Linked DNA regions of Xenopus tropicalis. The protein of the gene in region 1 purifies or fractionates together with the protein of each later gene. This does not show direct contact. Links are inferred from orthologs where the notes say so. Each region holds a gene or a part of one and is shown in the gene's direction. Other genes may lie near its edges.

Evidence for each region.
Region 2: the proteins of top2a (region 1) and srpk1 fractionate together in Homo sapiens (co-fractionation; 3 studies listed by BioGRID and IntAct, with this or other methods). This does not show direct contact. The link is inferred for Xenopus tropicalis from reciprocal best matches to the Homo sapiens genes TOP2A and SRPK1.
Region 3: the proteins of top2a (region 1) and top1.1 purify together in Homo sapiens (co-immunoprecipitation; 4 studies listed by BioGRID and IntAct, with this or other methods). This does not show direct contact. The link is inferred for Xenopus tropicalis from reciprocal best matches to the Homo sapiens genes TOP2A and TOP1.
Region 4: the proteins of top2a (region 1) and znf451 purify together in Homo sapiens (affinity purification with mass spectrometry; 3 studies listed by BioGRID and IntAct, with this or other methods). This does not show direct contact. The link is inferred for Xenopus tropicalis from reciprocal best matches to the Homo sapiens genes TOP2A and ZNF451.
Region 5: the proteins of top2a (region 1) and ctcf purify together in Homo sapiens (affinity purification with mass spectrometry; 3 studies listed by BioGRID and IntAct, with this or other methods). This does not show direct contact. The link is inferred for Xenopus tropicalis from reciprocal best matches to the Homo sapiens genes TOP2A and CTCF.

The regions. Positions count from the first base shown.
Region 1 is NC_030686.2:8,636,347-8,640,477, forward strand, and holds part of top2a (DNA topoisomerase 2-alpha), read left to right. Parts: intron 1-1,369; coding exon 1,370-1,453; intron 1,454-1,556; coding exon 1,557-1,751; intron 1,752-1,885; coding exon 1,886-2,015; intron 2,016-2,105; coding exon 2,106-2,252; intron 2,253-2,540; coding exon 2,541-2,715; intron 2,716-3,059; coding exon 3,060-3,112; intron 3,113-3,404; coding exon 3,405-3,557; intron 3,558-4,131. UniProt on the Homo sapiens protein: Key decatenating enzyme that alters DNA topology by binding to two double-stranded DNA molecules, generating a double-stranded break in one of the strands, passing the intact strand through the broken strand, and religating the broken strand.
Region 2 is NC_030678.2:69,859,037-69,863,729, reverse strand, and holds the start of srpk1 (SRSF protein kinase 1), read left to right. Parts: upstream 1-1,458; 5' UTR 1,459-1,480; coding exon 1,481-1,493; intron 1,494-4,693. UniProt on the Homo sapiens protein: Serine/arginine-rich protein-specific kinase which specifically phosphorylates its substrates at serine residues located in regions rich in arginine/serine dipeptides, known as RS domains and is involved in the phosphorylation of SR splicing factors and the regulation of splicing.
Region 3 is NC_030686.2:40,922,255-40,926,385, reverse strand, and holds part of top1.1 (DNA topoisomerase 1), read left to right. Parts: coding exon 1-121; intron 122-516; coding exon 517-569; intron 570-654; coding exon 655-744; intron 745-1,238; coding exon 1,239-1,311; intron 1,312-1,441; coding exon 1,442-1,536; intron 1,537-1,618; coding exon 1,619-1,734; intron 1,735-1,938; coding exon 1,939-2,060; intron 2,061-2,154; coding exon 2,155-2,277; intron 2,278-2,399; coding exon 2,400-2,587; intron 2,588-2,690; coding exon 2,691-2,835; intron 2,836-2,956; coding exon 2,957-3,100; intron 3,101-3,609; coding exon 3,610-3,795; intron 3,796-3,911; coding exon 3,912-3,980; intron 3,981-4,072; coding exon 4,073-4,131. UniProt on the Homo sapiens protein: Releases the supercoiling and torsional tension of DNA introduced during the DNA replication and transcription by transiently cleaving and rejoining one strand of the DNA duplex.
Region 4 is NC_030686.2:17,110,996-17,115,126, reverse strand, and holds part of znf451 (E3 SUMO-protein ligase ZNF451), read left to right. Parts: intron 1-1,634; coding exon 1,635-3,295; intron 3,296-4,131. UniProt on the Homo sapiens protein: E3 SUMO-protein ligase; has a preference for SUMO2 and SUMO3 and facilitates UBE2I/UBC9-mediated sumoylation of target proteins. Plays a role in protein SUMO2 modification in response to stress caused by DNA damage and by proteasome inhibitors (in vitro).
Region 5 is NC_030680.2:41,135,314-41,139,423, forward strand, and holds part of ctcf (transcriptional repressor CTCF), read left to right. Parts: coding exon 1-145; intron 146-1,939; coding exon 1,940-2,100; intron 2,101-2,829; coding exon 2,830-3,012; intron 3,013-3,867; coding exon 3,868-4,015; intron 4,016-4,110.

The DNA.
Region 1 (4,131 bases):
CCTGATACAAATGAGCAAAATGTGTTTCCGACTTTTACTTGACAGTGCTGAGACTAGTCATTTTCTATCATATCTGTCCAAGTCCTGAGATGCAAGCTACATGACCTTACCTGCAACAAGCAGCTAGGACTGCAACCCAAGCAGTTGTAGTTTCACAGACCTCCATTTCATCTTATAGGGCCTAAGTATTGGGGATTCTATTGCTCCATGTTAAAATTAGATCTTTTTTATTTGAACCTTTTTAAAAGCAGATATATGCAAACCTTTTTACTATTCTACAGGGTTTGATTAACTTGAAACCACACCCATGTTATCACATGACCATACCCATATTAATGGTTGTAGTACAGCAAAAACCTGCCATACTCTGCCTGCCCTACCCTGCCTGTGTGTGCCATACTTTCACTGTGTGTGCCATTCTTGGCTGGTTTGTGCCATACTTGGCCTGTGTGTGCCATACTCTGCCTTCCCTACCCTACCTGTGTGTGCCATACTCTGCTTGCCCTATGCTGCCCGTGTGTATGGCACACACAGGCAGCCTACAGTGACACAATGCTGGCACTGCTCCTACAGTCTGCACAATAAATATATATTAAAAAACTTTTTAATTGCAGTACCACCTCAGTATATGTTCTTTTTGTAGTATGCAGGGATTATTTGTGGGTTTCTACTGCTCCTGAGGTGTGAACAGGGGAACACAGTTTAATAGGTTCTTCTACATTACATCCCAGAGGCTGGTTATCTTCAAACTCAAAAGGCTCTAAAATCATTACAAAGATTTGGTTGTCTGAATAAAAGACCTTTCAAAAAGTCTTAAATGGCAAAGAACTAAAATAGTTCTTTAGAGTTGTTTTTCCATCTTAAGTGAATTTAGTTGTTTGGGTTTGACTAGGAACAAATGTGGCTTATTTGCCAATTCTAAGATGGTTAGATATTATGACCAGTAGTGGTCGGCAGATACAAGCCCATGAAATGTCAGCCTTATATAGCCATATGGTATGGTACCATAAATCTCTGCTACAGCATCATATCTTGGTGTGTGCTGGGCTTCCATTTTTTCTTGCTTTCCTGGATTATGGACCTGGCCAGTTTAGGGCGTTACACCACTGGCGACAGTCAGATACTATACTGGGGGTGCTTCCAAACATACATTACTGTCTCCAGAAACCAACCCTTCTTTAATTGTGACTTTCAGTGGTCGGATAACTCATCAGAGATGTTTGCTTGGGTTTTACTGCATAGCATTTACTTATTACTAAATATGGAGTTGCCTTGATGTTGGTTTGATAATATTTAAATACTTCCACCTTCTCTAGTGGTGAGTGTCACTATCTGGCATTTCCAATAAATGCTGTCATTTTGTTTTTAGAACGCAGAGCTTCAGGACCTGAAAAAGAAATCACCTTCTGACTTGTGGAAAGAAGACCTTTCTGCATTTGTTGAGGAGCTAGACGTAAGTAGTAACATCTATCCTTCCTTTGTCTATTTGGTATTTGTTGCTTTATATAAATTGCTGCGGTTCCAACAACAGGAGTTGTGTTCTTGCTTTGTGACAGCGTGTAGAAGCCAAAGAAAGGGAAGAACAGTCCGTAACAACAGGCAAAGTGGTTAAAGGAAAGAGTGGGAGACCGCAAGTAAAGAAAATGCAATTGCAGGAAATTATGCCATCTCCACATGGCAGGCGTGTTGTCCCTAAGGTCACAACAGCCATGAAAGCGGAAGCCACCAAAAAGATGAAAAAGAGAATTAAGGTAAACGAGCGTTTCTGTATAGATTTAGGTTTGCTTGGCTCAACAATAACTGGCCTTTTTGAGCATATGTATATATAGAATATGTATTGACTTTTGCATTTATAAAATGTACCCAAACATTTGCCATTTGTTAGGGTGAGGATGTTGCTAAGAAGATGGATTTCGAAGACGATGGTGAAGGAGACAGCTTAAATTCACCAGAACAAAGTCCAGAGAGCCTAACGCTTGCCGAAAGATTAAGCAAAAAAGTTAAAAAAGAGCCAGGTGTGTAAATGGTTTTTAATGAAAGCTTCTCTGTTTGCATGCTGGTGTTATGCTGCAATCTAACATTTCTATAACTGCTTTTACATAAAGGCGCAAAGGCTGTCAAAGACAAGAAGCAGGCAACGTTACCCTTCAAGCCAGTAAAAAAAGAGGCAAAGAGCACATTCCAGGATTCAGAGAGCGAGTCCGAGGAAGAAGTGGTGCCACGTGCTGCTCAGCCACGCCGCAATGTTGCAGGTGAGAAATGCTAGTAGCAAATTTACCTCTGCAGTCTGAACACAGTTGGGGTTTTATGAACATAGTGTTTAACATGGTGTTAGGGCTTCCCGACAAATGCCTCTGATGCAAGTACTGGTGCAAAAAGGGGGCCCTATAGAGGCCAGTGCTGGGGGTTTTTTTGTTTGTTTTTAGAGCTTCTTTATTGTTTCATTCATTCATTTACTGATAGTTGCCTAGGCCTGCTATGGAATGTGTTACCACATAAAAGGGTTCTGCTTGATAACAAATGTTTTTATTTGCTTCTAGCTAAAGTGAACTATATGTTGAGCTCTGATGAAGACGGTGAAGAAGAGGGAAGCGGCATAAAGATGCCTCAGGAGAAGAGTGACAGTGAATTCAGTGATTTCAACCCAAAATCTGATTCAGAAGATGAATCCTTTGTAGTTGCAAAGCCAGCCAAAAAGCCCAGAGCTGCGCCCAAGTGAGTACTCTCCCCTCCCTTTAGGTACAAATCAACTTAAGCCATTTCTTGGTGACAATTTTGTTTCCACCATTTAATGCTGCTTACTAAAAAAAGGATGTGATTGGAAACTACCTTACTGGCATCCTGATGGAAATTGGTAGCTTCTAAATGTTAGTATTATATAGACAACATGCATTTTTTCCCTGGCAACCAGGTAGAAACTTGAATGAGGGGGAGTGATTTAAAAAACTTATAAAAAGTAACAGAATTGCAAACATACAGAGTTGGTGACTACTGATTTAAAGGCTTTTTTTTCTGTAAGATTTGATGTTTTGTCTAAAATGGTTTAACTTATTTAACAGGAAAGCTAAAAAGATTGAAAGCCCAGAAAACTCTCCACAGAAAGACAAAGCAGGTATGTTTTATCAAGAATAGCTGCTTGGGATATTCACATAGTAATACATTACATATGGCAACGTGTTTTGGGGGTTTTATGAGCCCAGTACAAATGGGACCACAATGAAATAAAGGATCACACATGTATGTTTACCCCAGTTCAGCCATATGTTGGCTTGTTTTTCTGCTGCAATGAAACATGCTATATTCATAGATAACATAACACAACATATATTAACCATTCTGTATCCTGGCAGATCTGAGTTATGTCTTGGTATTAATGTGACTGGTTCTGTTGTATTTTTGTCTAGCTCCAGTAATTGCATTAGATGAAGATGAGGATACTCCCATAATGACCAGTGCTCCCAGCGCCCCTGCACCGGCTCCCAGTGCCAAAGTGTCAAGTGCTAAAGTGGCAGAGAAGAAACCTGCACCTAAAAAACGAGTCCAGAAACCGAAGACTGGTGAGAACTTCTGTTTTGCAATATATTAAACGTGGGCAATTTTTTTTGTTTAAGTATCTTAATATCCAAGTTTGGCCCACTACAGATCTTTACTGCGTTTGCCGTGACCTTGTGTATACAGAAGTATGCCGATGTAAAACACTTCATTTCTGGTGTTTGTATCACAGTAAATATAATAATAATAATAATCCAATTCTACTTTGAAACTTTGAGTTGGTGGAACATGAAAAAGCCCATACAGAGCTGCAAAATGTTAACAGCTGCATTTACCAGCTCCAGATTGGCAATTGGACTCGTTTCTGGATCAATATCCCAGTAGCATTGTATTAGGCATTCCTGCTGAGCAGCACTGGGAACATGGATTTGATTCAGACCAGGGCATATCTGCAGTTTGTATGTTCTGCATCTGCTCTTTGTAGCAACCAGTCAGTTGGTTTGAGAGACCCTGGAATATGAATAGAAAAATTAATAAAAAGTAACTAAAATTGTAGCTTCACAGAGCTACTGGGGTCAGTGACCCCCATTTTATAGCTGGAAAGAGTTAGAAGATGAGGGCAAATAATTAAACTATAAC
Region 2 (4,693 bases), on another chromosome or scaffold:
TGTCCCGTTTGAGCACTGGAGACCAAAACTGAACAGCATATTCTAGATGGGGCCTTACCAGTGCTCTGTAAAGGGGAAGAATAACCCCCTCCTCCCGTGAATCTATACCCCTTTTAATACAGCTCAGAACCTTGTTTGCCCTTGCAGCTGCTGCCTGGCATTGCTTGCTACAGCCAAGTTTATTATCTACAAGGACTCCAAGATCCTTCTCCATTATGGATTTGCCTAGTGCAGTCCCATTAAGGTTATACGGGGCTTGCATATTTTTACATCCCAGGTGCATGACCTTACATTTATCCACATTAAATCTCATCTGCCACTTAGCTGCCCAGATTGCCAGTTGGTCAAGATCCTGCTGCAGGGATGTCACATCCTGGATAGAATTGACTGGTCTGCAGAGTTTTGTGTCATCTGCAAACACTGATACATTACTCATAATACCCTCCCCTAAGTCATTTATGAACAAATTAAACAAAAGTGGACCCAGTACAGAACCCTGAGGGACCCCACTGAGAACCTTACTCCAAGTAGAGAATGTGCCATTAACAACCACCCTCTGTACCCGATCCTGTAGCCAGTTTTCTATCCATGTGCAAACGACTTCACTAAGACCAATAGACCTTAGCTTAGAAAGCAGTCGTTATGATATTATCGTGACTATTACGATTTTTTCGTAAGCATATTCGTGACATTTCCGATCGTCAGAAATGATCGCATCTGATCCGAATTTTACCCATTTTGGGATTCAAACTTGTACTTTGATGAATCTGCCCCATAGGACTGCCAAATGGTATTTCACCAGTGGAGCCAGTAATATAGCAGCCCAGGCTGGCACAGCAGTGTATTTGCCAGTAAAATTATAATTTCCACCCCAGTCATTCTGCCCCTGGCTAGCCACAATTTCCCTTTAACCCCTGACTACTAGCCCAATCCGCTCTCTGTAATAACGCAAGTTTTAAAGTATAGCTCAGCCCTTCCTGGTCCTATCACGCCCCCTTTTTTTATCCAGACCTTTTACCCTGCTGGCTTCTACTCCTTGGTAGACGCTGACAACACTAAACACCCGCACTTTTTTTTTTTTAATTGGATTGAGGGTTTTTTGCATATTTACAACAAACACATATGCACACGTGTCATGCTATGTACTTCGTTCTTTATTGTTCTTCACTGATAGCATTTTTTACGTGAAATTGCACAACGATTCAAGCGGAATTAAAAAAAAACTCATGTTTTCTTATTTAGTTTTACTAAACAAAAGTTCCTTTAGTCTGTTGTAAAAAATAGGCGCACATTAACTCAAAAGTCCAACTACAACATGGCTACATCCGCCCAGGCGCCCCTCGAGGAAAAGGCGTAGCCAAAACGAAAGTGGGAGTGATATTTTCTCGTCCAAACAACTTACGCGCTTTTGGCGTTTGTAAGCGCACACTGGTGACGTTTTGGGGGTCGCACCATAAGCGCGTGGTTTCACCGGCGTACCATGGAGAGAAAAGGTGAGGGAGTAATAAGGGGTTCTATGATTATAGACGGATCATGTAATATAAAACTAAGACAGACTGACTTACAAGCCATGTATTACTAGTGAGTGGTTGCGGTTTTAAATGTATGCGAATAGCAAGTGTAAAGCTGTGAACGTTTCTTTATATTATCTTGCAATTCTTATTGAGAATAATACCATTTGTATGGAAGTGTTTTGCAATTCCTTTTAGCATATCAAGACTTTGTTTTATTACTGTACTTGATAACTTAAAGGAACAGTTCAGTGTAAAAATGAAACTGGGTAAAAGACTGCACAAAAGAAAAAAATATTTGTAATATAGTTAGGCAAAAGCAGATGTCTTAACATAATAGCCAGAATTCTACTTCCTGCTTTCAACCCTCTAACCTCTTAGTTAGTGAGTGACTTTAGGGTGGGCCACATGGGACATAACTGTTTAGTTAGTTTGTGAGCACACAGGACAGATTAAATACAAACCTTACATTTATCAACATTAAAAATCCCCAGGCTTAGTGGCAGATGATATTCAGTTTTTCTAGATCTTGCTGCAAGGATGGATACATCTTGGAAAAATTAATTTACCTGCATAGTTTTGCATGAAATGCAAGAACTAAGTCACTAATAAATAAAAGTGCACTCAATACAAAACCCTGCAGGACCACACTAAGAACAATACTCCAAGCTGTTTTTCAAAACGCATCAGTTAATACAGCTTCTGCAGCAGAAGCCTTGAAATCCATTTTTCAAAACACAATTTTTTTTTTATATTTCAATTTGAAATTTCCCATGGGGCTATAGCCATATTCTTTATTTCCCAGGGTGCCAAAGCCATGTGCCTGTGATCTGATAAACTTTAGTCACACTTTACTGCTGAGCTGCAAGTTGGAGTGATATCACCCCCTTCCCAGCAGCCAATCAGCAGAACAATGGGAAGTTAGCAAGATAGCAGCTCCCAGTAGATATCAGAATACCACTCAATAGTAAGAAATCCAAGTCCGGCTTGCTACTTCTCCAGTTACATGGGAGGGTTTTTCCTACCTATCAGTTCTAATGTGTAGCACTGGCTCTTTCTGAAAACTCAGGCACAATGCACTGTGAAATATTAGCTTTGTAAACTGTGTTTACAGACAATGGTTTTCAGAAGTATTCTCAAACTTGTGCAGTCATTTTCAGTACATAATCCTGTATGTTTTTAATGCAGTGCTGCCCGAAGATATAATATTGGCTTCTGGCCTTGTCCTTGCACACACAGATTTCTCTAATAATATTATGCACTGTAGGTAATGATATCTTTGCAGTTTTACATATTATTCTTAATTTGTTGCAATATTTGCCCAAGCAGTGATTTGTGGAGTGGTGTATCTCTCCTATCTTTATTTTCAAAGGCCCACCCTCTCTGGGATGCTCTTTTTATCTTTACATAACTTTACTAGACTTTAGTTGCTCCTGTCCCAATTTGTTTTTAAGGGCCGTGGCAAATCTCCGTTGTCGCAGGCGACTTATCTCCCAAATATGACATCCCACCGGCGAGAATGTAAATAGCTGGTGAGATGGCATACACGGTGCGGCAATTTACCGAAATCGCAGAAGTTGCTGTGAGAGGCGATTTCGGCACCGCGTATGCCATCCCACCGGCAACATACATTCTAGCCGGTGGGATGGCATTATGGGGAGATTAGTTGCGCGCCGACTAATCTACCCGTCTCTCATGGCCCTTAAGCATTGCTGGCATCATATTAGAATTGAGCATATATTTGATAAGTTTATTTAGTGCTATTTGCAATTACATTTAGGGTTTAAATGATCTGTAACTCATTCCATTCTTTTTCATTTTTTTAATATTTTTTTAGGGTTATGTCCAAATTTATGTACTGAAGTAAATTTAGATTGTTAATTTTAGCTATCCTAAATTGTATAGTCTTTGTTGACCCAGTGTATATTTGCTTTTTGCAGCAAATAAATGAGATAATATAGTCACTTTTGCTCCAGGAGTTGTAATACTTGCAATGCCGGCTCCCCTACACATCCAGAGAATTCAGCCAGCAGGAAGTGGGAGAGATGGGTGTGGCTAGTAGGGTTTGGGGGGGAATTTCTCAATAAATCAGTCCGAAGTACAACCTTTTTAATCACAATCCTTCTATATTTAAAGGAGTATAACGCAGTGGTACATTTTTAAATTTTTTTTTTTTGTAATTTAAATTTTAGAAATTTATAGAAAGAAAAAAGGCAAACAACATCGACAATATACAGAATAGCTATTTTTCATCTTAAATGAAGTGTGGGCTTATTACATAGTGAATTTGTATGCATTCACTTTTTCTTCTTTTGTGATTGTTACTCTTTTCTGTTGAGCTCTGTTTAAACAGTCAGAGTTTGTATGTTAGATCAGGGGTAGGGAACCTATGGCTCGGTAGCCAGATGTAGCTCTTTTGATGGCTGCATCTGGCTTGCTGCCAAATCTTTAATAAAAAAATTAACGGGGACGTGGCCTGCGCTTGGCGGATAGAAGACGTGTTCTAAGCCTTAGAACACGTCTTCTATCCGCCGTGCGCAGGCCACGCCCTCCTCCGCATCCCATCCACATCCGGTATCCTTGGGACCCACCCTACCTTGCCCTGCAGCATCCGCGGCCAAACATATTGTATGGCTCTCACGGAATTACATTTTAAAATATGTGGTGTTTATGGCTCTCTCAGCCAAAAAGGTTCCCGACCCCTGTGTTAGATAGAGTAAAGGTGGAAAGATAGGGTTGGTAGAGGAAAGGAAGACACAGAGGGATGGGGTAAGGTTGGGGTTTACCGGTTTCCAGATTGTTTCTGACATTTTTAATTTTAACATGTCTCCTTTAACAAACTGACTTCCCAAAACAAAGTGAAGTATTTCCTTTTACATATACTGTCAAATTGTGTGACGCATACAGCCACATTTTAGCAATTCCAATGACATCATATTTCTCATCCAGTTCCATTACCTCCAGCTCTCCCTTTTTATCATTGTCTTGCATCTATAAACAAACGCATGCAAGCTTGTATCAGCTTTTATAAAAACTTCTGGTCCTCCTGTGACATAACTTACCTCCATACAAATTTCCACCCCAATTTCCCTTTCTATGGCCAAATTCTCTTCTTGCACACTTCTACCTTTCACAGAATTGGTCGCTGCTCCCTCCCCCCTTCAACTTTTCTCTTTCCCAAA
Region 3 (4,131 bases), about 32 Mb from region 1:
TGGCGAGAAACATAAAGATGGAGAGAAACACAAAGAGAAAGATGCTGAGAAGCATAGAGATGGAGAAAAGCATAAAGATAAACACAGAGATAAAGATCGGGAGAAGAGAAAAGAAGAAAAGGTGAGGCTGTCATCTCCATTAAGGTGGCCACACACGTGGCGATTTGGGATGGTCGCACGAAAGATCGTTCAATCAGCCACTAACTGTTCAGAGCTGAAACGGCAGATAAGGTGGTAGAAACAATAGGATTTCTACCTCCTTCTGCCGATTCAGCTCTGATGGCAGAACTTGCTCAGGCTCCTTCTATGGCGCCCGATCAAAATCTTTTAACCGGTCCGATCGGCGAGTTGACCGATATATCAGCAGCCTCCTGCGATATTGGTCGACTCGCCGACTTGCCATACACGCACCGAATATCATACAAAACGAGGTTTTGAGGACCTCCTGCACTCATATTTATTGTATTCACTATGACCAGTATCACTGTTTAACCTGACTGCTTTTATCTCTTGCAGATGAAATCTTCCAGCGGCAGTGTTAAAGTGAAAAAAGCAAATGGTTTCTCTAGGTAAAGGCAATGGGTCGGTAGAGCAAATATACTGCCACTGGGTGCGGAGTTTCTCTTATTGAACACCCTGCTTCTTCTCTTCTAGTCCTGTGCGGGTTAAAGATGAGCCAGAAGATGACGGCTTCCACATGTCCCCCAAGGAAAATAAGGCAATGAAGAGGCCAAGAGACGATGAGTACGTGAGCAGGGAATGGTTAGAATGGTGAAGGGAGTAGGTTGTCCACCTACTACTGCACTTGTATTCCTCTCATCCAAGATTAATAGCCGCAGTCTTAATAGAATGAGTTGGAATAAATGTCATCAACCTACTCTGCCATATTGCTTGCTTCAGATATTCCGGAGTTATTCTATATAGGTAATATATAAGGAGGGAATACACTAGACAATCTAAGTCTTGGCACAAAGCTGGCCTTTCCAAAGGGCATTTAACAGCCTGGCCTTGAGTTTCACAAACTGTATTGTACTGTGACTGTGTAAGATATGACAGTGTCCAGCCAATAGCTTACATATAACTGAAGCAGTGTGTATGTGGTTTTTACCCCCACCCTCTTTTATTAGAATGAAACTCTGCCCACACAAAATGTTGTCATGTAGCAGATCATAAAGCAGAACTGCCCTAAAGTTTTCCTGTGGGTGCTGATTTTACCTACTGTGTCATTCTGGTTTTAGTGAGGATTACAAACCTAAGAAGATCAAATCTGAAGATGAGAAAAAAGGGAAGAAGCGGAAGCAGGAGGAAGAGGTGAGGTCTATTGCGGAGTAACTAAGGGGCATATTATCCTTTGTAGGCCAGCATCACCAATTTATGCCCCTAAGTGTCCATCTGGTTGGTTGTTTAGGAAGCAGTTTAAAAACATAGTTTCCCTTCACAGGATATTAAGCCCAAGAAAAAAAGTAAGGGCAAAGGCAACGAGGGGGAAGTGAAGAAGAAAAAAGTAAAAAAGGAGGAGGAAGAGAAGTGGAAATGGTAACCGCTTCGTGCCGTGCGTTATTGTATTTTATGGACTGTACAGCATTTCTTCCATTTCTAACACTTCTAACTCCTATAGGTGGGAGGAGGAGCGGCATGCTGATGGCATTAAGTGGAAATTCTTGGAACATAAAGGACCAGTGTTTGCTCCCCCCTATGAACCTCTCCCTGACAATGTGAAATTTTACTATGATGGTAAGTGGCTCTGCAGTATTCCCAGGTGTCCCCGTGCCTTCAGGTACCAGCTTTGCTTTTGTACTTGCTGTTAATAAACCACTTACCTATACAACCCCCTTGCTGGTAGAATAATTGGGAATAAACCCCTGGCCCTTCATATCTGCAGAGGATGGTGAATATATTCAAATGGGCCTTTATCCTTATATCTTCTGCTCGCTGCAGGTAATCTTGTAAAGCTCAGCCCAAAAGCCGAAGAAGTGGCCACGTTCTTTGCAAAAATGTTAGACCACGAGTACACTACTAAGGATATCTTTCGGAAGAACTTCTTCAAAGACTGGAAAAAGGTAGTTTTTTTTTTTTTTTTTTTCTTTGTTTGATTTAATCCCTAACTCTTTGAATCTGTCCAACTAATTCAACCGACTTCCTGGCCGCTTTCAGGAGATGACAGCCGACGAAAGAAACCTAATCACCAACCTGGGCAAATGCGACTTCAACGCGATGAGCCAGTACTTTAAAGAGCAATCGGAAGCGAGGAAAAACATGACAAAGGAAGAGAAGCAGGTGCTTAACCTTGAGAAATTGAGTTTTGCTCAGTAATGCAGAACAATTAGCTGCTATGGGTTCTAGTCGATAATAGGTCAGACAAGGGATTTTGGGCCTCATTTCTTTTATTCCTGCTACAGAAAATCAAAGAAGAGAATGAGCGGTTACTGCAGGAGTACGGCTTTTGTGTCATGGACAACCACAGGGAACGTATTGCTAACTTCCGCATAGAACCTCCCGGCCTGTTCAGGGGCAGAGGAGATCACCCCAAGATGGGCAAACTTAAGAAGAGGATAATGCCGGAAGACATCATCATCAACTGCAGCAAGTATGTAAAAACCCAGCAATACCAATTTGTGTTCATGTACCTTGTGTGTTTGGAATGTAGGAATTTTTTTTATTATCACTTCCCCCACCCCCCTTGATTTTAGAGACTCAAAATATCCTGTTGCTCCTGCTGGTCACAAGTGGAAAGAGGTTCGGCATGACGGCAAGGTTACATGGCTGGTATCATGGACAGAAAACATTCAGGGTTCCATCAAATACATCATGCTCAACCCTAGCTCCCGAATCAAGGTAAATAGATAATTATGGGCAGCCTGGCCACTAAGGCACTTCTGTTGTTGCTTTATATCCTAATGGAAATGGATCTAGAAAATTGAATTCCTGCAACTAACAATTCCTGTTTGCCTTTCAGGGTGAGAAGGACTGGCAGAAGTACGAGACTGCCCGAAGGCTCAAGATGTGTGTTGAAAAGATCCGCAATACTTACAAAGAGGACTGGAAGTCCAAAGAGATGAAAGTCCGACAGAGAGCAGTAGCGCTCTACTTTATAGATAAGGTGAGGCCCTTTTGTGTTTGATAGATACAAAACTGCGTTTGGTCTTGCATGTGTCTACTCGGCCCATCAACACTGCTAAACTATTAGGATATATAACAAAGGTCAAGGGTGGGTTTCAACAACCCATCCCGTGAACCTGTCTGATTGCAGATGATACTGTCTGCTGTTCTAAATGGGATGATGGGAAGTGGCCATGCATGTTTATTGCAACTAGTACAGTATACACTGCTTGTTGTGTCCTAAGGAGGTATGGGTCAGGTCATCTAGGCAGGCCTGCAACTAAACTAGATATTTTTGCAGTCCAAGGATTATCCCAGACAGCAGAGGCTATTCCTGAAGTAGTCACTGTATAGGCTGTATGCCTTCCCATTTTGTGGAATTCTTTCTTGTGACCCTAAGCTATTCCAGGAGTGCTGCTGGCCTGGCATTACTTACCCCCCCCCCCCCATGTTTGTATGTTTCACCTTAGCTTGTATCCTAATTCTACCCACCAAATCAATCCTTTTCAGCTTGCATTGAGAGCTGGCAACGAAAAGGAAGAGGGAGAAACAGCAGATACTGTAGGTTGTTGCTCCTTGCGAGTGGAGCACATCAATCTCTTCCAAGAGTTGGACGGCCAAGAGTTTGTGGTAGAGTTCGACTTCCCGGGTAAAGATTCCATCCGCTACTACAACAAAGTGCCAGTGGAGAAAAGGGTAAGTATACGGAGTTGCATTTCTAAATTTGTTTAGCTGAAAAATCTCCCCAATAAACATGGAAGGAAGCTGTGACTTTATGTACTAAAATTTTCCTTCTCTGGTGCTCTGCTCAGGTTTTCAAAAATCTTCAGCTCTTCATGGAAAACAAGCAGCCTGACGACGACCTGTTTGACAGACTCAACGTATGTAGATTTGACTTTGGACATTCAGGATTTTTCTGTAAACCTGCCTAGGACATATGAAGGTTTATGTCTTTTTATATCCCTTCTTTCAGACAAGCATTTTGAACAAGCACCTTCAGGACCTGATGGAGGGACTAACAGCCAAAGTATT
Region 4 (4,131 bases), about 8.5 Mb from region 1:
TAAGTTATTTTTTAACAAGGGGGGCAATCACTTTTTCACACAGGGCCATGTAGATTTGGAGTTTTTTTTCTCCCTTAATAACGTAAAACTTAATTTAAAAACTGCATTTTGTGTTCAATTATGTTATCTTTGACTAATAGTTAACGGTTTTTGATGAGCAGAAACATTTAAGTGTGACAAACATGCAAAAGAATAAGAAATCAGGAAGGGGGCAAATAGTTTTTCACACCACTGTATGTATATTGTACTACTGAGAGTTTTTGACCTATACAAGTGAGATCTCCATAAAACTATATATATTTGGTATTGGCACATTCAGAAAACATGGGGCTTTCCAAATCCAGTTGCATTTACAGGCATAAAATCATTTGTTTCTGATATATGTGTTTATATTATGGAGAATATTTGTTTCAAATTTTCAGATATTTACAAGCCTATATGTTGTTACAGAATTAGAATTACAAACAAATTCTAGCATATTTTGAAAGCTTAGATTGGCCTGAAAAAAACAATGTTGTTTTCCTGGAGAAACTAAGTTTTCCCCTCCTCCAAGGAAAGGCCCCTAAAGTGAAAGAGCGCATACTGTTTGGCAAAAGAAGTTCCAGAAGCTCCAAAGGGGATGGCAGTGAAAGGGATAAACTTAATAAGGTTAAAATGAATGTAGAACGTAGTAAGAATATATGAGTGAGAGGAGAGTAGGAGTTCAGATCATAGTTATTTACAGTACTGCAGTGCAAGTATTTAATAGGTTTCTCCTGCAGTGTACAAATATTTTTTTTCTTTGTTAATAGAGTTAAAGGAGAAGGAAATAGACATTTGATTGCTAATAGATTAGCCACAATAGTGTAAGCTAGAACACTATATTTATTCTGCTTTACCATACCTGAGTAAACATGGAGTACTTTTTATTTCTAATTTACACCATTTAAAATTTCATTCTTGAACCAACAAATGTTTTTTTTTAGTTGTACTATTGGTGTGTAGGCGTTTCTCCTACTCCTATGTAACTGGAGGAGTCCCAAGCTGGACTTGGATTTCTTACTATTGAGTGCTATTCTGATCTCTACTGGGAGCTGCTATCTTGCTACCCTCCCATTGTTCTGATCGGCTGCTGGGGGGGAGGGGAGGAAGGGGGGGTGATACCATTCCAAATTGCAGCTCAGCAGCAAAGTGTGACTGAAGTTAATCAGAGCACAAGTCACATGGTTGTGGGCTAAGCCCACGTGAAATTTCAAAATGAAATATAAAAAAATGTGTCTCTTTGAAAAACAGATTTCAGTGCAGGATTCTGCTTGAGAAGCTGCATCTCTGTGCTCTCAGCTCAGATTACAGCAGAGAGGGAGGGAAGGAGAGGGGGGAGAGAGAGGAGCAAACTGAACAAGCAGTGCTGTTTCCTGGATCATGTGTACAGAATAGAAGGAAAGATATGTGGTGTCTCTTTTCACAAAAGACTCAGAGCAGCAGGTGTTTATGTCTGTATTTACATAGACCTTTCTAATAAAGCTTACTTAGATTTTACCTTTCATTCTCCTTTAAGTGAAACTGGAATATGTGCGTGTTCTTTTACAAAAATATTATTACAGTGACAGCAACATTTTAAGTGTAAAATTTTTTTTCTCTCTTCATTCTTACAGAACACGGTGTCCTAATGCACATCCCATGGTTTCTTCAGAGAAAACAATCGCTGAGGTTATGACAGTGTTTCTAGCTAAAGCCTACTGTCTGTCATGTAGGAAGATGTTAAAAAGTGACACAGACATTGCTGAGCATGCCCAGAGAAGCAACCACAAAGCCAAATTAATAACAAGCCTGAACGAATCAATTATGGCATTTTGTTACACCCATGAAGGGATCAAAACTCCATCTGACCTGTGCTTATCAGCAAGTAATGCAAGATTTAAACCTAATATGCTTAAAAGGGCTTTAAATGACAATGATCTATCCAGTACAGATTTATTTGTAAATGAAGGAAAAAACACCATGAGAGGTTCTCCTGCAAAGAGGAAAATACAGACAAGAGATCTGGGTATCATTGTGACAGCATGGTTTTGTGAATGCCTGCAGAAGTTTTCAACCGAGGAAGATGCTGAGAAACACATCATGTTGTCTAATGGCATTTGTCACAAATGTTTGGTTTGTAGTAAGGTGGCTAATGATTTGAGTGTTATTCGGTTGCACATGAGCCGGTTCCATGGAGGAGCTCATTTAAACAATTTTATCTATTGGTGCCAAGACTGTCGTATTGAGCTGCTGAGAATTGAGAATATGATGGCGCATGTATGTGAATGTCACAAAGGTCACTCATACTATTTTGAGCAGGAAACATGGGAGGATGAACCTTCCGCATCAACACAAAGACCTAGTCCATCCAATCTGGTTGCTTCGGAACCTTCTCCTACAAACACAGCAACTACTGCTGGACACTGGCAATGCCACATTTGCGAAGAGATGTTTGATTCTGAAGATAGTGTTAAGCAACACTGTAATAATATAAGTATTCATCAGTTTCACAAATTCTCATGTGATATTTGCAAAAGCCGATTTCACAAAATAGAAACACTTTTCCGACATAGTCAGCATCAGCATGACGGGGAGATAAACATGAAATACATTTGTGGGCTTTGTGATCTTTACTTTGAAGATGAAAAGGACTTCCGTGGGCACTATAATGGTTTGCATAGTTCGGAATATGGATTTGTGCCAGAACAAATGCAGTCTCTTATAAAGAATGAGGAGCAGCCGCTTTCCATTGCTAAGCCAGATGAGAACCGCTTAACCTGTGGTTGTTTAGAAAATTTCCCAAGCAAAGCAAAGAGGGAGGAAGAACGCCGTCTCTGCTTGGCACGACTGCTACAAAAAGGAAGTCTTTGGTACAGCTGCAAAAACTGTTCAGCTACTGGGCAAACATACGAAACCTTAAAGATCCATGGTTGCGCTAAAAGCCAGCAGTCACTTGTTCTTGATATTGGTGTAAAGTGCAGCTGCTGTTCCAAATCATTTCAAGATACAGAAAGGGCTCTGCAGCACTATCATGATAAACACTGCTTCCTTCAAAAACCCAACATTAAACATTTTGCATCCCCAGATTTACCAAAGGAGGTTTTTGAATTTAAGGCCAGTGGAGCAGGTGCTCAACATAGCCAATCTGTAACCCCCCTTGCACGCAGACGGCTTGGCAAGACTCAGTATAGCTGTTCTACAAATGCTACTAAAATGGAAGATTCGCAGTCTGTAGTCCATGCTGCTAAAATCAAAAAGCCAGAAGAAGACGCCAAATCAGAGAAAATGGATATAGGTATTTTGTGTGAATCCGTCCGTTTTCCTTTTTTTTGTTTTTTTTTTTTATTCAGAAAATGTAAAGTTATTTAAAAGTCTAGACAGTTCTAGTGTCAGGCCTCCATTAAAGGAGGCATATTGCTATTCATTTATTTTCCATTCACACTCATTATTTAGCAATAATGAATAATATATATTTCCTAATTTCAATCTTGGCTAAAAAGTACTGTATTAAATAACACCTTCATTTCCATACAGATGAGAATGTTCTTCAACAGTCCATTCCCAGACAGACTGATGAAGGAGCTAGCCAATCACTTTGTCACAGTTCTACCTTTATGCAATTCTCTGAGTTGCATGCTTTTTTACACCCAGCAAAAAGTATATGAATGGGTTTTTGGGAAATTGCTAGTAGCACAAAGACAACTTTTAAAATTACATTCCATCTTGTTTTTGAGTTATATAATGCAGTGACACAAACTTGTTATTGACACCATATGTATCCTTTGAAGAACAGTAAAGGCTTTATTTATAAGTCAAAGAAAGTAGTAAGGTTATGCTGGCCCCTGTCTGCAGTTCACAGGGAATATGCATTATTCTGCAAATTTATATAGGGCCAGAAAGACCAATTTTGTCTAACTGCTTCGTAATGCCTATCCACCGGCAACAATGGCTTGTAGGGAGTGTATGGAGCAAAATCTATTTATACCTTATTAGTAATCCAGGATGCATGAAATATAGCAAATGTTGCTAGGATAAGGCTAAGGATAAGACTACACAACAGTACAAACAGTTGTGTAACTATTGCAAACAGGTTAGCTGCATATACATATTTACATGGGGGTTGTATCTTAA
Region 5 (4,110 bases), on another chromosome or scaffold:
AAGCCATACGAATGCTACATTTGCCATGCTCGTTTTACGCAGAGTGGGACCATGAAGATGCATATTTTGCAGAAACACACTGAAAACGTGGCCAAATTTCATTGTCCCCATTGTGACACAGTAATTGCAAGGAAGAGTGACTTGGGTAGGTGTCCTTTAAGAGGTGATGGTGTAGAATTATTCAACAGATCCGATCAGTCCAAAACTTTTTGCTGTAAAGGGTAAAAAATGTAGTAACTACATGTAAATTGAGCCAAACTTCCAGTTTTTATCCCATTGTACAGAGTTCATCATTTTTACCACAACTTGTCTGCTTCTTAGAAAAGAATTGTGTGCTTCTTGAGACCCCCTATTTGTTAACCCAGGAACATTTTTCTTGCTTGTGTTGCTCTCTTTTTACATTTGAATGTGGCTCATAGGTAAAGGTTGGGGATCCCTGCTGTGTATTATGACCTGGATGATTGAGACTCTTTATAGACGCATGATAATATACCGTATATACTCGAGTATAAGCCGATCCGAATATAAGCCGAGGTACCTAATTTTACCTAAGAAAACTGGAAAAACGTATTGACTCGAGTATAAGCCCCTCAATGGTGCAGCATGAAAAGCATCCATATACCGGTATACAAAATCTTTAATCCAATAACTAAATATGGCATTTCTGTATTCTTTAAATACAGTAAATTGCTGTTCTGGATGTCACTTCAATGAATACAAAATTATTCTATATAAATTTGATAAAACAACTACTGTCCCACTAGCCATAGAGCTTAGCAAGTTATGTAAACCTCTCATAATATAGAGACCAGTACCTCTCTCTTTTTTTTTTATTTTTTCATTCATGACTGTACATAAGCTGAGAAGAACTGCATGTGGGTACTTTTGATTTAATTAGGTGAGCAGTGATTATGTAAAGAGCTTCAGAGGGGCCTCTTGATATTAATATGAGTGTATTAAGCAAGGCTAGGGCACACGGCTAGCACAAGGATATCATAACCAACTTATACTAAGCATTTCAACAGTGTGGAGTAATGAGAAAAATTGCTCCAGTGGTAGCATTCTATGCCCATAAATCCGCAGGTGGCGGCATATTTAACCTGATCACTTGCTCAGTAGGTATCAGTTACCAGTCTAAGTAAGGCTCTGGTTAGAGGGAGGTGCCACGGTGCTGCTCTTTGTGTCACTTACTGTCATGTTGGCACTCAACACTAACTATATAGTGGGGCTCTGTGCTCTGCTAGGCTGTTCTGCTGCCGTTGTCCTGGCATCCACGGGGGTCCAGGGAGGGGGGGGCTCGGGGGTGCTCCTCAATGTGTCCCTATGTGCTGCGCGCTGCACATAACGTAGCGCGCACGCCGCAGGCACAGTCTGCCTACGGCTCGGGGGGTGCTCCTCCTGTGCTCCAGTGTGTCCCAAAGTGCAGCGGCACGAAGAGCATAATGTCGCGCCCCTTGTACATGCTCCTGAAGGCCGCGCAACTACCGTATTCCATGTAGTTTGGGTGCAACTACCGTATATACCAGAGTATAAGCCGATTGTTACTTTTTAAGCACATTTTTAGGGCTGAAAACTCGGCTTATACTCGATAAATAAAAGTGGTCCTCTATCCAAACACTTTTTTTTCTGTACTGAAGGATACTGTTATTCTTAGCAACTTTGAATACATATTTGTTGAACATTTTCAGTGGTTTTTAGGTTATTAAATGGAGTAAAATGAAGAACCCTCTAATGAGCTGCTTCTTATTTCACAGCCTAACTGGGTAGGGAGGGATTTGATCACAAAGAGGGCTTCTCAATGGAAGCTGATTTGTTTTTATTGTGCTTTTATGAACCAAATGTGACTTCCAGTTTCACATTTAGCCCTGTTTTGTTCAAGAAACAGTCAGTAGGTAAAATGTGTATTTGTATAAATCTTTTTTTTTTCATTTTCCTCAAGGTGTCCATTTGCGAAAGCAACATTCCTACATTGAGCAAGGAAAGAAGTGTCGCTACTGTGACACAGTGTTCCATGAGCGTTATGCACTAATCCAGCACCAGAAGTCTCATAAAAATGAAAAACGATTTAAATGTGACCAGTGTGAATATGCTTGCAGACAGGTATAGTTACTATAAAAATGTTATACAGTACTTTTGTATTGTTGCCTAGGATTAAATGTATCCATATTTTAAAGGGGAAATTCAGGTTATCTAATCAGTGTTTGGTTGGCCTTATTTGTTTTGTATAATTTTTGAATTGTCTGCTTCCGGCAACGAAAAGAGTTTGACAGAATGAATTTATTTTTTCTTATTTGTTTGGCATCTATACATCTCCCCAATTATTGTGTGGTTGCTAGAGTAATTAAGTTATAACAAACCAGTTTAAATCCTGGGTATTATGCCACAAAAAGTGGAGATTGATTCCATATGCTGTTTGAACGCTACTGTTTATCTGACACTAAATTTAACATTAAAGGGATAGTAATGCTTTATTTTACCAGAAAGTGAAGAAGTTATGCCTTTATAATTCGATATAATGGGAAAATCAAGCCTGTCCAAGTGACATCTGCCAGGTTTTTGCCCATATACATCAGTTGGGGTGGTTCTTCGGCCAGATAATCTGCCAAATAGGTCTGGATGACTCTAATCGGTGGCTTAAATCTACCCGTGTGCGATCCTCTCTGATGTGTCAGGAGTAGGTGGGGGCTGTGGGCCAAAATTGGTTTGGGTACCTGTTTACATTTGTATTCAGGCAATTGACGATTGGCAAAACATTTCATACTGTTCATGCACAAAATTTCACATGTTTGTGTTGCAGTCTAAAAAGATATTTAACATTCTTTTTTGTAGGAGCGACACATGATTATGCACAAAAGGACCCATACTGGTGAGAAGCCTTATGCCTGTAGCCATTGTGATAAAACATTTCGACAGAAACAGCTGCTTGATATGCACTTCAAAAGATACCATGACCCAAGTTTTGTTCCTGCAGCATTTGTGTGCTCCAAGTGTGGGAAAACATTTACTCGAAGGGTATGTTTGCATTTTTTCCTTCCTTTACTGGTAGAAGTTAAATTTGGCTTACTATCGCATAACTTAAGATGGTTGCACCCACAGGGGCGTATTTATAATGGAGCACCCAAGGGCCGGTGCATAGGACAGCAGTGCTTGCATGTTTTTTTTGTTTTTTATTTAAAAAAAAAAAAAAAGCCTCTGCAGGGGTCGGGTAGGGGGGTCGGGACACTCTTTGGGAGTGACGTCACATTCACATCACTTCCGCTATGTTGCTTCGTGTAACGTCATGCGCCTAGGGTGGCACTGGACCTATATGCACCCCTGTGCACGTAGAAGGACATTTGAGACTTTTCTTGCTTCAGGGATTCAGAGAGGATGTATTAGTCCATCCCAAAAATTGTCACAAAGCATATGGTGAGAAATGGATGATAGGGAGGTAAATGGGAAACTTGAATACTTCAGACTGGTGCATAAGATTTTATCCACTATGTTTATTTCCATGTGCCGTATCTATTTTCTAACTAATTTAGTTACCCTGAAATATTAGGTGAGTCAGATTAGAGTGGGCATGGTGGTTTGTGTGCAGGTATTAAGGTTTTTGTAAATGTATTTGCTGTTAACAGCAATATGTATCTTACTGTTTAACAACATTTGCACGCTGATCGCCGACTCCTGAAACAGTGTTGCAAGCCACTTGATTAGCACCAATAAAATTTGCAATTTGTTATTTGAGTGATATGGATAAAGCTCTGGGAAAGATTTGGAATCATGGCAATAATGACTTTGTATATAGAGTGTTAAGGATAAAGAAATAAAAAAAAAAAAAATCCCCTGTTGTGAAGAAATGACCTAAAACCTCTGTTCTGTTTGTAGAATACAATGTCAAGACATGCAGATAATTGCACTGGGCCTGATGGTACAGATGGTGAAAATGGAGGAGAAAGTGAAGTGGTTCACAAAAAAGGGAAGCGTGGTCGCAAGAGAAAGATGCGCTCCAAGAAAGAAGGTTCTTCTGACAGTGGTAAGTTTCTTCTATTTTTTTTTTTTTTTTTTTTTTTTTTTCATCTGGCCTGTAAAGCTGTATGTGAAAATGCCTGTGGATTTACTTTGTCTTAA